3 linked regions of the Danio rerio genome follow. The protein of the gene in region 1 interacts with the protein of each later gene in a pairwise test. Links are inferred from orthologs where the notes say so. Each region holds a gene or a part of one and is shown in the gene's direction. Other genes may lie near its edges. The genes, in order: banp, tox4a and foxm1.

Evidence for each region.
Region 2: the proteins of banp (region 1) and tox4a interact in binary tests that used the Homo sapiens proteins (3 or more experiments, as listed by UniProt). The two-hybrid records come from large-scale screens. The link is inferred for Danio rerio from reciprocal best matches to the Homo sapiens genes BANP and TOX4.
Region 3: the proteins of banp (region 1) and foxm1 interact in binary tests that used the Homo sapiens proteins (3 or more experiments, as listed by UniProt). The link is inferred for Danio rerio from reciprocal best matches to the Homo sapiens genes BANP and FOXM1.

Annotation. Positions count from the first base shown.
Region 1 is NC_133200.1:32,860,651-32,864,307, forward strand, and holds part of banp (protein BANP), read left to right. Parts: intron 1-106; 5' UTR 107-112; coding exon 113-188; intron 189-278; coding exon 279-361; intron 362-3,375; coding exon 3,376-3,575; intron 3,576-3,657. UniProt on the Homo sapiens protein: Controls V(D)J recombination during T-cell development by repressing T-cell receptor (TCR) beta enhancer function. Binds to scaffold/matrix attachment region beta (S/MARbeta), an ATC-rich DNA sequence located upstream of the TCR beta enhancer.
Region 2 is NC_133177.1:41,098,097-41,101,753, reverse strand, and holds part of tox4a (TOX high mobility group box family member 4-B), read left to right. Parts: intron 1-911; coding exon 912-1,163; intron 1,164-1,247; coding exon 1,248-1,568; intron 1,569-3,657. UniProt on the Homo sapiens protein: Transcription factor that modulates cell fate reprogramming from the somatic state to the pluripotent and neuronal fate. In liver, controls the expression of hormone-regulated gluconeogenic genes such as G6PC1 and PCK1.
Region 3 is NC_133179.1:6,237,849-6,242,268, reverse strand, and holds the start of foxm1 (forkhead box protein M1), read left to right. Parts: upstream 1-1,463; 5' UTR 1,464-1,575; exon of another isoform or gene 1,576-1,714; intron 1,715-3,842; 5' UTR 3,843-3,876; coding exon 3,877-4,246; intron 4,247-4,420. UniProt on the Homo sapiens protein: Transcription factor regulating the expression of cell cycle genes essential for DNA replication and mitosis. Plays a role in the control of cell proliferation. Also plays a role in DNA break repair, participating in the DNA damage checkpoint response.

The DNA of each region.
Region 1 (3,657 bases):
TCCTCTAATAGTTTAATTGCTTTTGTTGATTATAATTATAACTTAATTATAACCCAATCCGAAGCAATCCCCAATTATTTATTGGTTACATTTTTCTGAAATGCAGGTTTGAATGATGTCAGAGCAAGATTTAGTGGAAATAGTCCAGATTGCAGTGGCGGATTTAAATCATGAAGGACACCAAACAGGTAAGTCCACCTTAAAAAATACCATATATGTTTATACATGAAAGTGTTTGTGGTTTCCTACTAATGTAATTCATTTTTATTTTATACTAGATGTTCTGGAGAATAATGAAGACTCTGATCAACCAGGGAGGAAACGAGCAAGAATTGAGATCAGTCAAGAAACATCTATCAAGGTAGCTTTCTAATGTCATTAAAGGGTTGTTTCACCATCACTCACCCTCGTCCACATGTTGTCCCAAACCAAATTTTGGTTCCTCTTTTGAAGGTCTATTTTCCCAAAACTATAATGCTTCATTCGACAATTAAAAAGGAATCAAAAAAGCATGAACAAAGCAGTTTAATCCAAGTCTTATTTATATAATGGACAGATGTAATTCTGGCCTTTATTCACATATAAACAGAGATGTATAAAGTACTAGAGACCCAGACTTAAGTAAAAGTATAAGTCCTCTATCAAAAAAGTGACTTGAGTAGAAGTTGAAATGCTCCAAGCACCATACTTAAATGGAAGTACTAAAGTATTCAACATTTTTTGTACTTAAATATTGTAAGTAAAAGTACAAGTATTGTGTAATGTAGTTCTTAAAGAAAGCAGTCAAAAGACATATTGTTTTGCTTATTTGAAATATCTTTTTTTGGGGCACATGATTAAGCGAACGAAAAGAAACATGGCTTACGGTTTATATGAACTAGGATAACGTTTTTCTCTCGCTTGAACCACAGATCTGACAGATTATAACAGCTTTAACACACACCTTTCACTCCAATTTCTGTAATTCACTCAAAACGCTATTGAAACCCATTTTCGGCTTGCAAATTACGGTTGTAAACGCCGTAAACGGGAGTTCTAAACATTCTGCCGGAAGACACTGGTCACTATGGTGCCCTCCATGCAGCAGCCAAGAAAAAGGTCTATAATTGTAAGGAGTAGAGGTGTGAATCTACACTGGTCTCACGGTTTGGTTCGGTTACCATTATCATGCTATCGATTCGGTTCAATTCGATATCTCGGTGCACTGACAATGCTTTCCATACATAATTCGATTTTGTCTTCACAACACAAGAATTTTTTTTCATTAAAATCTATAAATATATATATGAATGTCTGTTGAATGACCTCCCACCCTACTCATAATTCTCTTTTCATATCCATAAAACACTGTGATATAGCCGGGCTCGGATTGTATTGCTTTCTCACTACAATTAATCTGCTCCAGAGTTCGTTTGAATCGAGCTGAGACCATCTCATTCAAGCGATCTCGAAGCGATTGTTTTGGCGCAGATCCGAGCGCGATTGCTAGATTGCAAACGAGACAGGTTCCGAAACAAAGGTCTAGGTATGAAAGTACCCTTAAACTCATTGAAGATATGTACTGAAGTAAAAGTGGAAATAGGAGAAAAAAACAATACTCCAGCAGAGTGCAGATACAGCCTTTTAGTACTTAAGAACAGTAGTGAAGTAGTTCTACTTCGTTACTATACATCTCTGCATATAAATAATAATCATGGAGTAAAAACTGAAGCAATGATTCTCCTTTTTGGTTATTGTTCATCAGTCAAGCATGCTTGCTCATTGTTTGATGAGTTGTGAGTTTAATGTTCACCATAAAAAACAACAATTGTGTGTCTGCAGAATTTGACATTTTTTGCTATTTCTGCGCGGAATTTTGTAAAAACAAATTTATGCTAAATGATTTTGAAAATAAAGTAACTAAATACATGGAATAATTAAATATAACCCTTTTTTTAAATTTAAGGTTTACAAAGCAAACCCATTTGTTTGGTAAACAAAGTCAGTTTCTCATTTAATATATCTACTAAAAAGACTGTTACATTACAAACTGTTACATTACAAACTGTGTTAAATAAATCATATAAACATTAGCAAATTATTAAGTAATATTACTGCAGGTAATATAAAATATATATTCACTCACATTTACATAGTTAAACAAATAGACAAAAAAAAAAAAAAATTGGTGGAAATCTGTGAATTCGCAGATTCCGTACGGGCCTACATATGGGTTATGATGATAGATTTTAAATTTTGGAATGAACTAAAATCAGGGCTCCAAATCTGAATATTCAATAGTGTCAACAGTCATCCTCGTGCATGCACATATAAAAATCAACAGTAAAAAATAGGTGTGTTTTGCATTTAAAAATATATAGCAGGGAAAATAAGTATCCAGCACGTCATGTTTTTTGTTGGGAATAATATTTCTAAAGAAGCAGTTGACATGGAATTGAACCAGATTTTGGTAAAAACCCAAACAATACAAACAAAAATAAAACAAAACAAATCTAAAAAATAAATTTTGTGTAATAGCAATGAAATGACACAAGGCGAAAGTACTGAACTACTAAAACAGAAGCAGGAAATCAGAGCACATCACACCTGTCCTCAGGTCTCTACACTGGCTCCCAGTTACATTCAGAATAGATTTTAAAGTATTGTTACTGGTCTATAAATCACTAAATGGCCTAGGACCTCAATACATAACAGATATGCTGATTGAATACAAACCTAACAGATCTCTCAGATCATTAGAATCATATAAACTAGAAATTCCAAGAGTTCTGTCAAAGCAGGGTGAATCCGCCTTCAGCCACTACGCCCCTCGCTGCTGGAATCAGCTTCCAGAAATGATCAGATGTGCTCCAACATTAGGCACATTCAAATCGAGACTGAAAACACATCTGTTTAGCTGTGCCGTTACTGTATAAGCACTGTGCTGCGTCCGACAGATTGCACTATTATGTTTTTCGTTTTCTTTTTCATGTTTTTATAACCTATTTTAACTCATTTTAATTTGTTTTTATCTGTTTTTAATATTTTTTATTGTCTGCATTTTATGTTCTAAACTTGTCGTTTTTTATTCCTGTTTATGTAAAGTACTTTGAATTGCCACTGTGTATGAAATGTGCTATATAAATAAACTTGCCTTGCCTAAAACGTGTTAAATACTTTATATAAAAGGCTTTTTTTAATGATGGCAGCTTAAAGACGCCTCTTGTATGGAGAATGAAGTCACATGAATTGCTCAGGTGTAAGTTTTTCACACACTTCAACAGTGTGCAAAAATCTTGATGGTTATGTGGGTCTCATCTATCAATAAATGACATTTTCATCTGGTATTAAATATAATTAGATATTTTACCAATTTCTGTATTTCTGTTTCTCCAGTCGATGTTGATATCCATCAGTCAGGCGATCTGCCAGCGGCTGGACAGTATGGAAGCAAAGCTGCAGGTTCTTGAGGTGACCTGTCGAGGTTTAGTGGAGAAACTGGACACAGTGATGGGCAAGAACCAGTCAACGATTCAAGTACCCATGGTGTCCGGGTCCCCATTCGGAGCCACTCAGACTTGTGACAAAGTACGCTGGTAAGTGGACCATAGGTCATGTGATTTATACACCAGCACCATTCATTAAATGGTTGGTTCTGTTTATTTTTTTCTTTATTTC
Region 2 (3,657 bases), on another chromosome or scaffold:
TCTTTCTATTTTTAAATATTATTAGTTACCATGCCAACTTTAATGTAATACAGTTTGGTATATTTAGCTTCGGCCCAGCACCCTTAATCAAGTTTGGTTTTTGGCCCTTCGTAAGAAAGTTAGGGCACCCCTGGTTTACAGGGAATTTAGGCACAAATCTTGTAACATGCCCTATGACCCAATCCTACTTGTTCAGTAGTCGTTTTTAAGTGCATGCATGAATGAGTATTTCTAAAAATTTCTTTCTTGACATAAAATTATTTTCAAACTAGTGCTGTATGATATTAGAAAGATCTGACATTGCATTTTATGGTAGTTTAAAAGTAATCAAAATCGACATTCACAATTTATAATCAATCAAATTTTTTCAGATACATTTTTTTTTTCAATTACTTTTCCTACCATTTGTGAATTCAAATGACTCCATTCTGGGCTGATTTATACTTATTGTATTATGATTTGTACTACTTGCATTATTTTGATATTATGCTTCTGCCAAGAGCACATGTACGGTCCGGCACAGCCTTCACATACAAAAAAAAAGTAATTACACATCACAACTGTTATAGCTACACTTTACTGTACAAAGCTTGTCACAAAACCTGTCACTTTATGTAACTTGTTAACTATGAGGGCAAAAACAAAAGAAATTAAATAATTGTTCATTAATCATAATCGAGTTAAATTATTCAATTAATCGAGATTTTAGTTTTAGACCAAATCATATAAAACTGTATAACAGTTTTAAATATCCTGAGAATGCTTTTATTTTTAAATGAGAGATGTGTATTATTGCCTCCATACTTCTTGCTTTTACAAATGACCTTTTAAATGGCTGTTAATGTAATTAGATCTAGAGTGTAGATTGCACTTTCAGATCATGAATCTTTCTCTTTCCCCCTTTTTTTTAGGATCTTGGCCATTCTGTTGGCTCTCATTTCGCTAGTTCCTCCTCCATGACTATTGATGTTCCAATAAACGAAATGAGCCACAGCCTCTTAGGACACAACCAGCTCACCACCATAGACCACTCAGATCTAAGTGCCCAGTTAGGGCTCAGCCTTGGTGGAGGATCTGTGTCAAAATCACCAGACCAACCGCTGTCAACCACACCGTCCCCTTCTGGATCACTGCAGGATGAAGACATGGAGGATTTTAGACAAGTGAGTTTTTGAGATATAAGCCTGTTTTGGTGGCACATTTTCATTATTTTTTCATCTTGCAACATCTCCCGGTTTCTTTCTCAGAAAACCATGCTGGTAGACTCTTTCGCTGTCTCTGAGCCCAGTCCAGCCCAGATATCTGTTCCTCCACCTGTGGTGAGGAGGGTGGGTGGTAAGCCATCCATGGTGCCAGTGGCCACAGTGGACACAGGAGCATCACTCGGGGTCAAAAAGGGAAAGAAGAAAAAAGATCCTAATGAGCCACAGAAACCAGTGTCAGCCTATGCTTTGTTCTTCAGAGACACACAGGCTGCCATTAAAGGCCAGAACCCCAATGCCACATTTGGAGAGGTGTCTAAGATAGTGGCCTCCATGTGGGACAGCCTGGGAGAGGAGCAAAAACAGGTATGGAGTCCTTAATAATGCTCTTCTGTTCATGTACCAGGCTTAAAGATGCAGAATGCAATTAGGTATTGCATTTTTTTTTACATGGTTCCTCCAATAACAACATGACGTACACGCAGGTTGCCAGATTAATGATAACAATAAATTACGAGCATTGCTGAAGATCGTGCCTTATCCTGACTATGTTTGCATGGACATCAGTAATCTAATTATTTGCCTTAATCTGAATAAGACAATAATAAGAGTAAGGTGTTTAACATGAGCTGCTTTTTGAATGTTCCTTTCATGATCCTGTTTTACGTTATAGTATATAGTTCGTTAAACGTCTATACATCAACATTCAACACTAATTTCATTCAGCGTTTTACATAAGTTCGCGTTCATCATGGCACCCAGTGCTTCCCACTCATAGACTTTGCTCAGGCGGGTCGCCCAGGAATATTAACAGCTGCCCAATTGACACAATTTTTTAGTATTATTGTCATACTTTTACACTTTTTGTATCATCCCAACATAACCAAACATCCGCAATTGATTAAGTAGGTGAAAATTATGTTGAACTGTCAACACTCCCACAGACAGTCTCAAGTGCTCTGCAGACCCACAGAGACGTGCTTTTTTTGGGACTTTTTTGGGAAATTTGCCTGCCCCCTGTTTCTAAAGCTGCTAAAATGTCTGGGATTCAGCTTTTGCTTTTACATTTTAAAGCTGTCATTATGCGTTTTTGCATTACATTTTTATTTAAGCTTACTTTCGCTTGGCGTCACAGCTGACAGCGCAGTTGCGAGAGCAAGAGAAACATTAAACAATTCATTCTCTAATCTAAACTGGCTGCAAAATATATGTACAACATTAGTAATGGTTAATCAATGCGTCTGCCTTATTTAAATAATCTACACGTTTTAATCTTGTAATTATGGTCATTTTAGAGATATTGTCTGTTTTTATTTATTTTTTTGTTCATCATTTGCTGTATATTTTAATTTAATTATGTCAATATATTGTGTGTTTTATATGCATATCAAAAATGCTTTGACCTGCAAGTTTGCTTTAAACTTGAGAGGGAGAAGCAAGTTTTACCTGTCAGTGGGTGCACATGGCTCCTGAATAGTTTTTTTTTTATTTTATTTTTTTTACTTTAACCCATTGAAAAGAAACCATGTATAACAGTGTCATAATAAATACAATTATTGTTAAAAATTAAATTGTTTTGTTTGTCGCATATTGTTAACTATTTATTTGATGTGGGTAAATGGTGTGTTTTAATCTGGCTATCACCACAAGTATATTTCAAACCTGTGGGAAGCACTGGCACCATATGTGATTTTGGATGTTTTGTTATTAATTTCAGTTTAAGTTCAACTGCAGTTAATTTCTCACACTATGCATGCAAACAAATGACAGCGGATACAAATTCTCAAGTAACAGGCCACCTCTGCCATTTCATACACTAGCTTTTCATTTGTTTGTCGTCAAATGCCTGACAACTACCATGTGTGCATCCTGTCGCAAAATGTAGTGAAAAGTACTTCAAAACAGTAATAATTTGATTAAAGTGTTTATGTCTGTACTGCACTTCAATAATGCCCCTAAATTACAGATACTTCACATCTTTGCAATGCGATTACTGTACAGTTTGATTCTTACTTTAGTCAGAAGAATAAGGTAATCAAAAATTTCTGTTTACATGGTAGACTCTTAAGAGTATTGACTTAATCGTATTAACATTGGAGTATTGGTGTTTATGTAAATGTGCTCCCTGTAAGCTAAACAGCTGATGGTTATGTTGGGAAACTTTCAATTGTTTGCAAAATAAAATCTCATAGATTTTTATGACTCTTGTATCTCATTTCGGAGGTTACTGCTGTCTTCCGGAGGTTGCAATTTTAGCTGCGCCTGCATACACTGAGGCAGCCTTCAAAACTGAAAAGAAATATGGGGTGTTTTCCACCAAGGCAGCCTGGTGTGCTGAAATATGATTGGGTAAACTGGCAGTGGGCTGGTTATTGAGACCAAAACTAAGACAGACATTCCGACATGGAGCGCACATTTTCAAAGGAGAATAACAGACTTGAATTCTTGTTTTTCA
Region 3 (4,420 bases), on another chromosome or scaffold:
GGAAATGCATGGCATACAATGCAAACTTCAGCTAATACTCACGCATTGCTTTGTATTTCTTCTCAATTGCATTGTTTTTTTCCTTTGGACCATGAAAATGTGAACAGAGAAAGACTGTTTGGGCGAGGTTTGTTGGAATTTTATCCCTCATTCATGCACTTTCATCCCCCTTTTTAGAAATGAAAAAGTGATTGAATGTTGGCTAGCATAAGCATGTAATGAAACAAGAGGCGGGGCTTTGCGACCACGGCTTTAATGTGATTGGTCAGATAGGATTGGTCCAAATGACAATTAAAACGTAAATATAGATATATTATTCGTTGTGTTTCCACCAATAATATTATTTTAATACGTGTTACTAACGTATGCAGGACGAAATCTGCTAAAACAAAAAAAATAAATAAATAAATACGCAAATATATAAATAAATGAGTAAATAAATTCATCAATTCCTGCATAAATAAAATTAATAAATACGCAAATATATAAATAAAAGAGCAAATAAATCCATAAATTCCGGCATAAACAAAATTATAAATAAATAAACCTGCAAATATATGTTAATTAAATTATAAATAAAATATATAAATAAATAAGTAAATGTTTGCAGAAAATACTGCATAAATAAAATAATAAATAAATATGCAAATATATAAATACAAGAGTAAATGAATCCATAAATTCCTGCATATAAATATAAATAATTAATGGTGTGGCCAGGTAAATAATTGTGTAACTTATACAAATGTTGGGGGAATAAGAAAATGCTAAACTGAAAGTTTATTATTTAGATTTAGATGCAGCTTTGTATTGCTTAATGTTGAATGTTTCAGTTGTAAAAATTATAATGTGTATGTCAGAGGAGCCACCGATCGCCCCCTAAAGGGAAATTATTTACTGCAGTGTGCATTACTTGCAGAAATGCACTACTTGTGGTGGCTCCGCCCATATGTGTTCGCCATTGGCCACCACGTGATCACGTGAGAGCGCAGCACCGCTCTGCGCCAAAATTCAAAATCTCACCAAATGCTCACAAGAATCCTGCGACCCGAGTCTTATATTTACCTTTATCAAAATACATTCTAGCAATCAACACTGCCTGATTAACTCAAATAAAGCACCGTCTGCACGGCTGACATGATATGAAGGTTTGATCCGCTTTGTATTGTTTGATATGGGTTTATTTTAATGCATTACAACAGGAATTTACGTGTATAGCAAGTTAGCAGGGTGGGTATGCAAATAACTAGGCCGCATGTCAGATAATAAAGCACGATCGCGTTAACTTTAATAATAAAATGTATGATTAGGACAATAACATGTATTTAAGTGTTATATTATGACGTACAACGCGATTGAAGGTCTATGCAATAACAAAATATTATTTTACAGACCTGAATTGGAGCAATGTTATGTCCTTTTGTTTCTGAATGATCTGTCATCGTCATCACCCTCATAATAACAAGACGTCAAATTGAATGTAATCAATTTATAACGGTATTTCATCTTTCAGAACTACAAACGTCATTTTGGAGTCGTTAGCCAGAAGCGTCGGTTAAACAGATCTTTTAATCGGTATATTCTCCGCTATTTGCGATAATATTTGATATATGTCAATAATTAATGTGTATTTTCTATACGAGCACTTGATTTAATATTTTCACGCTATTATTTGGGTGGTTTATCATTGTTACACTTCTGCAAAGCTTCCAGTGTAAGTAACAACAGCTCAATTCTTGTTTATTTAACATTATAAGTTTTTTCATATATATATATATATATATATATATATATATATATATATATATATATATATATATATATATATATATATATTTATTTATTTATTTATTTATTTATTTATTTTTATACGCTTTTTCTATGTATATATGCTTTATTATTCCAAAACAACTTTACAAAAGGAATATGTTATTAATGTTTCAATCAGATAAAGTTAATGTGGACAGTAAATATGTATAGTTAGCATGCAGATAAACAGTTCCTGAATATACTGTATTTAGAAAAGAACTATTGAGTTCATCTTTATTTCTATAGTGCTTTTACAATGTAGATTGTGTCAAAGCAACTCAACAGAAAAGTTCTAGTAAATTTAAACTGTGTCAGTCCAGTTTTCAGAGTTGAAGTTCAGTTCAGTGGTTTAGGCATGGGACGATAACCCTTTTCAAGGTATACCGCTGTTTGGAAAAGTCAAGGTTTTAAAAAAACGCCAACATTGTCTGCTATACTGTTCCTAAGGTATGTGTAAGATTTTTTTTTTCAGCTTTTTAGGTCAACAGTATCACCGGCAGAAAAAAAAATCCAAAGATGCTGCTTTAAATTGTAAAGAAATCTGTGTTTTTGAAACTAACGAAGAGAGCAGCCTGACATGTTTACTGCTTCAAAATATGTTAAATGTTTCTCAAAATAAAATATATTGTGTTCAAAAGGGGAAAAAAAGTTTTTAGTTTTTTCAGGGTGTCCGCTGGGTCTTAAAATATCTTAAATTTCAAAAACTAAATTTAAGGCCCTAAAAAATGTACTCAAATATGCTGTTGTGGGTCTTAAATACATTTAAACAGGTCATAATTTTCACTAATTGTCCATTTAAAGCGATAGCCAATCAGTACAACCAACAAATCCTTAAAAAAAAAAAAAGTTTAACAAAATTAACTTTTATTAATTATTTAGCAGTATGGTTTAATTGTCATCCTTACAATAGCATTTGTTTAAAAATTCTCAGTTTTTATGCATAAATTTATGTTGAGCATAAATGTTTATTATAGCTTTTAAAACTTCGAGACATTCTGATTGTCTTTAATTTAATATTGTTTATGCTACATTGTATTTGTGAAAAATATTTTGTTTTGGTCTGGTTTTCAGAAGTCTTTTAGATTAATATCCCATTGTGAGTGTCGATTAAATAAATGACACCAAAAAATACAGTTTTTTTTATATATAGCATTTTGAAATAATCTAGAAGTTTAAGGTGTAGTTACCCTTAAAATAAATATTAACCTTGATTTAGACCTCCGAATTTTAAAAATATTTTATTATCTATATTTAATAGGAAATCAAATTACATTTTGAAAAATTTTATTTTATGTTGTGCATAAATTTAGTTTATTATAGCTTTTAAAACTGGTCTTTTTTTAAAGAAGGGTTATGCTAATAAAAATGTAAAACTAGAGTTTGCTTGTTTTGACACATTATTTAAAATATATGGCTAAGAAATAACTGAATTTTAATTTTAATTGGGCAAATCAAAAAATACACCGGGTATTACAGAAAATTATTAGAGTTTTGCCATGTGATAGTCTGAAATTTTATTGAAAATGGTTATAAAAAGTCTTAAATTTGACTTGATGAAACCTGCAGAAACCCTGTTTTTACCCAGACATTTAAAAATAAAGATATTTTTATCCAAGGTTATCATGTCACAATCTTATATCGGCCCATGCCTAGTTCATTCATTCATTTTCTTTTCGGCTTAGTCCCTTTATTAATCCAGGGTAGCCACAGCGGAATGAACCGCCAACCTATCCAGCCCGTTTTTAAGCAGCGGATGCCCTTCAAGCTGCAACCCATCTCTGGCAAAGCCCATGCCTAGTGTGGTTTAAATTTCTCTGCTTCTCTGCTCCAAACACTTGGAGAGCAAATCCATCAATGCGTAGCTTCACAAGTACCAAAACCCAGCAAGCCAGTGGCGAGGAACAAACTTCACCAATTGACGAAAGTGAAGGAAATAAAAGTTCAAGAGAAACTTGGCTTAGTTGGAACAATCAATGTTTTCTAACAAATTTTGTAAACATTACATTTGATCTGTTTTATGTTATATCAAACAGGTGTTTAAACAGGCCCATTTGCTGTGAGCAAACAATGAGGGAGAGCCCAAGGAGACCCATCATCCTAAAGAGGAGGAAGCTGCCATTTCTGAAGAGTGAATCTGATCTGGGGTGTGATGAAGCTGATGGGACTCGCTGTAAGACCACCTCGACCCAGTCCACTGCTCGCAGCTTCCCTGATGGCATCCGTGTTATGGACCACCCTACTATGCCGGACACACAGGTGGTGGTGATCCCGAAATCAGCCGATCTGCAGAGTGTCATCAGTGTCTTGACGGCCAAGGGGAAGGAGTGTGGGCCTCAGGGGCGAAACAAGTTCATCCTGCTCAGTGGAGACACCAGTTTGGAGGAGAGCAAAACCCTTGGGTGTTTTTCTACAGAACTTGGGTCTGAGCTTGGGAAAGGTGAGTTATCTCCACCAATCAGCTGGTTTATTGGTGTGCGGTCTGGAGCAATATGGTAGATGAGGAGATTCCTCCCAATGTGTAAAGCACTTTTGAGCGTCTTAAAAATGCTACATAAATGTAAGAAACTATTATTATTATGTGACAAAGAGCAAATTAAAGGGATAGTTCACC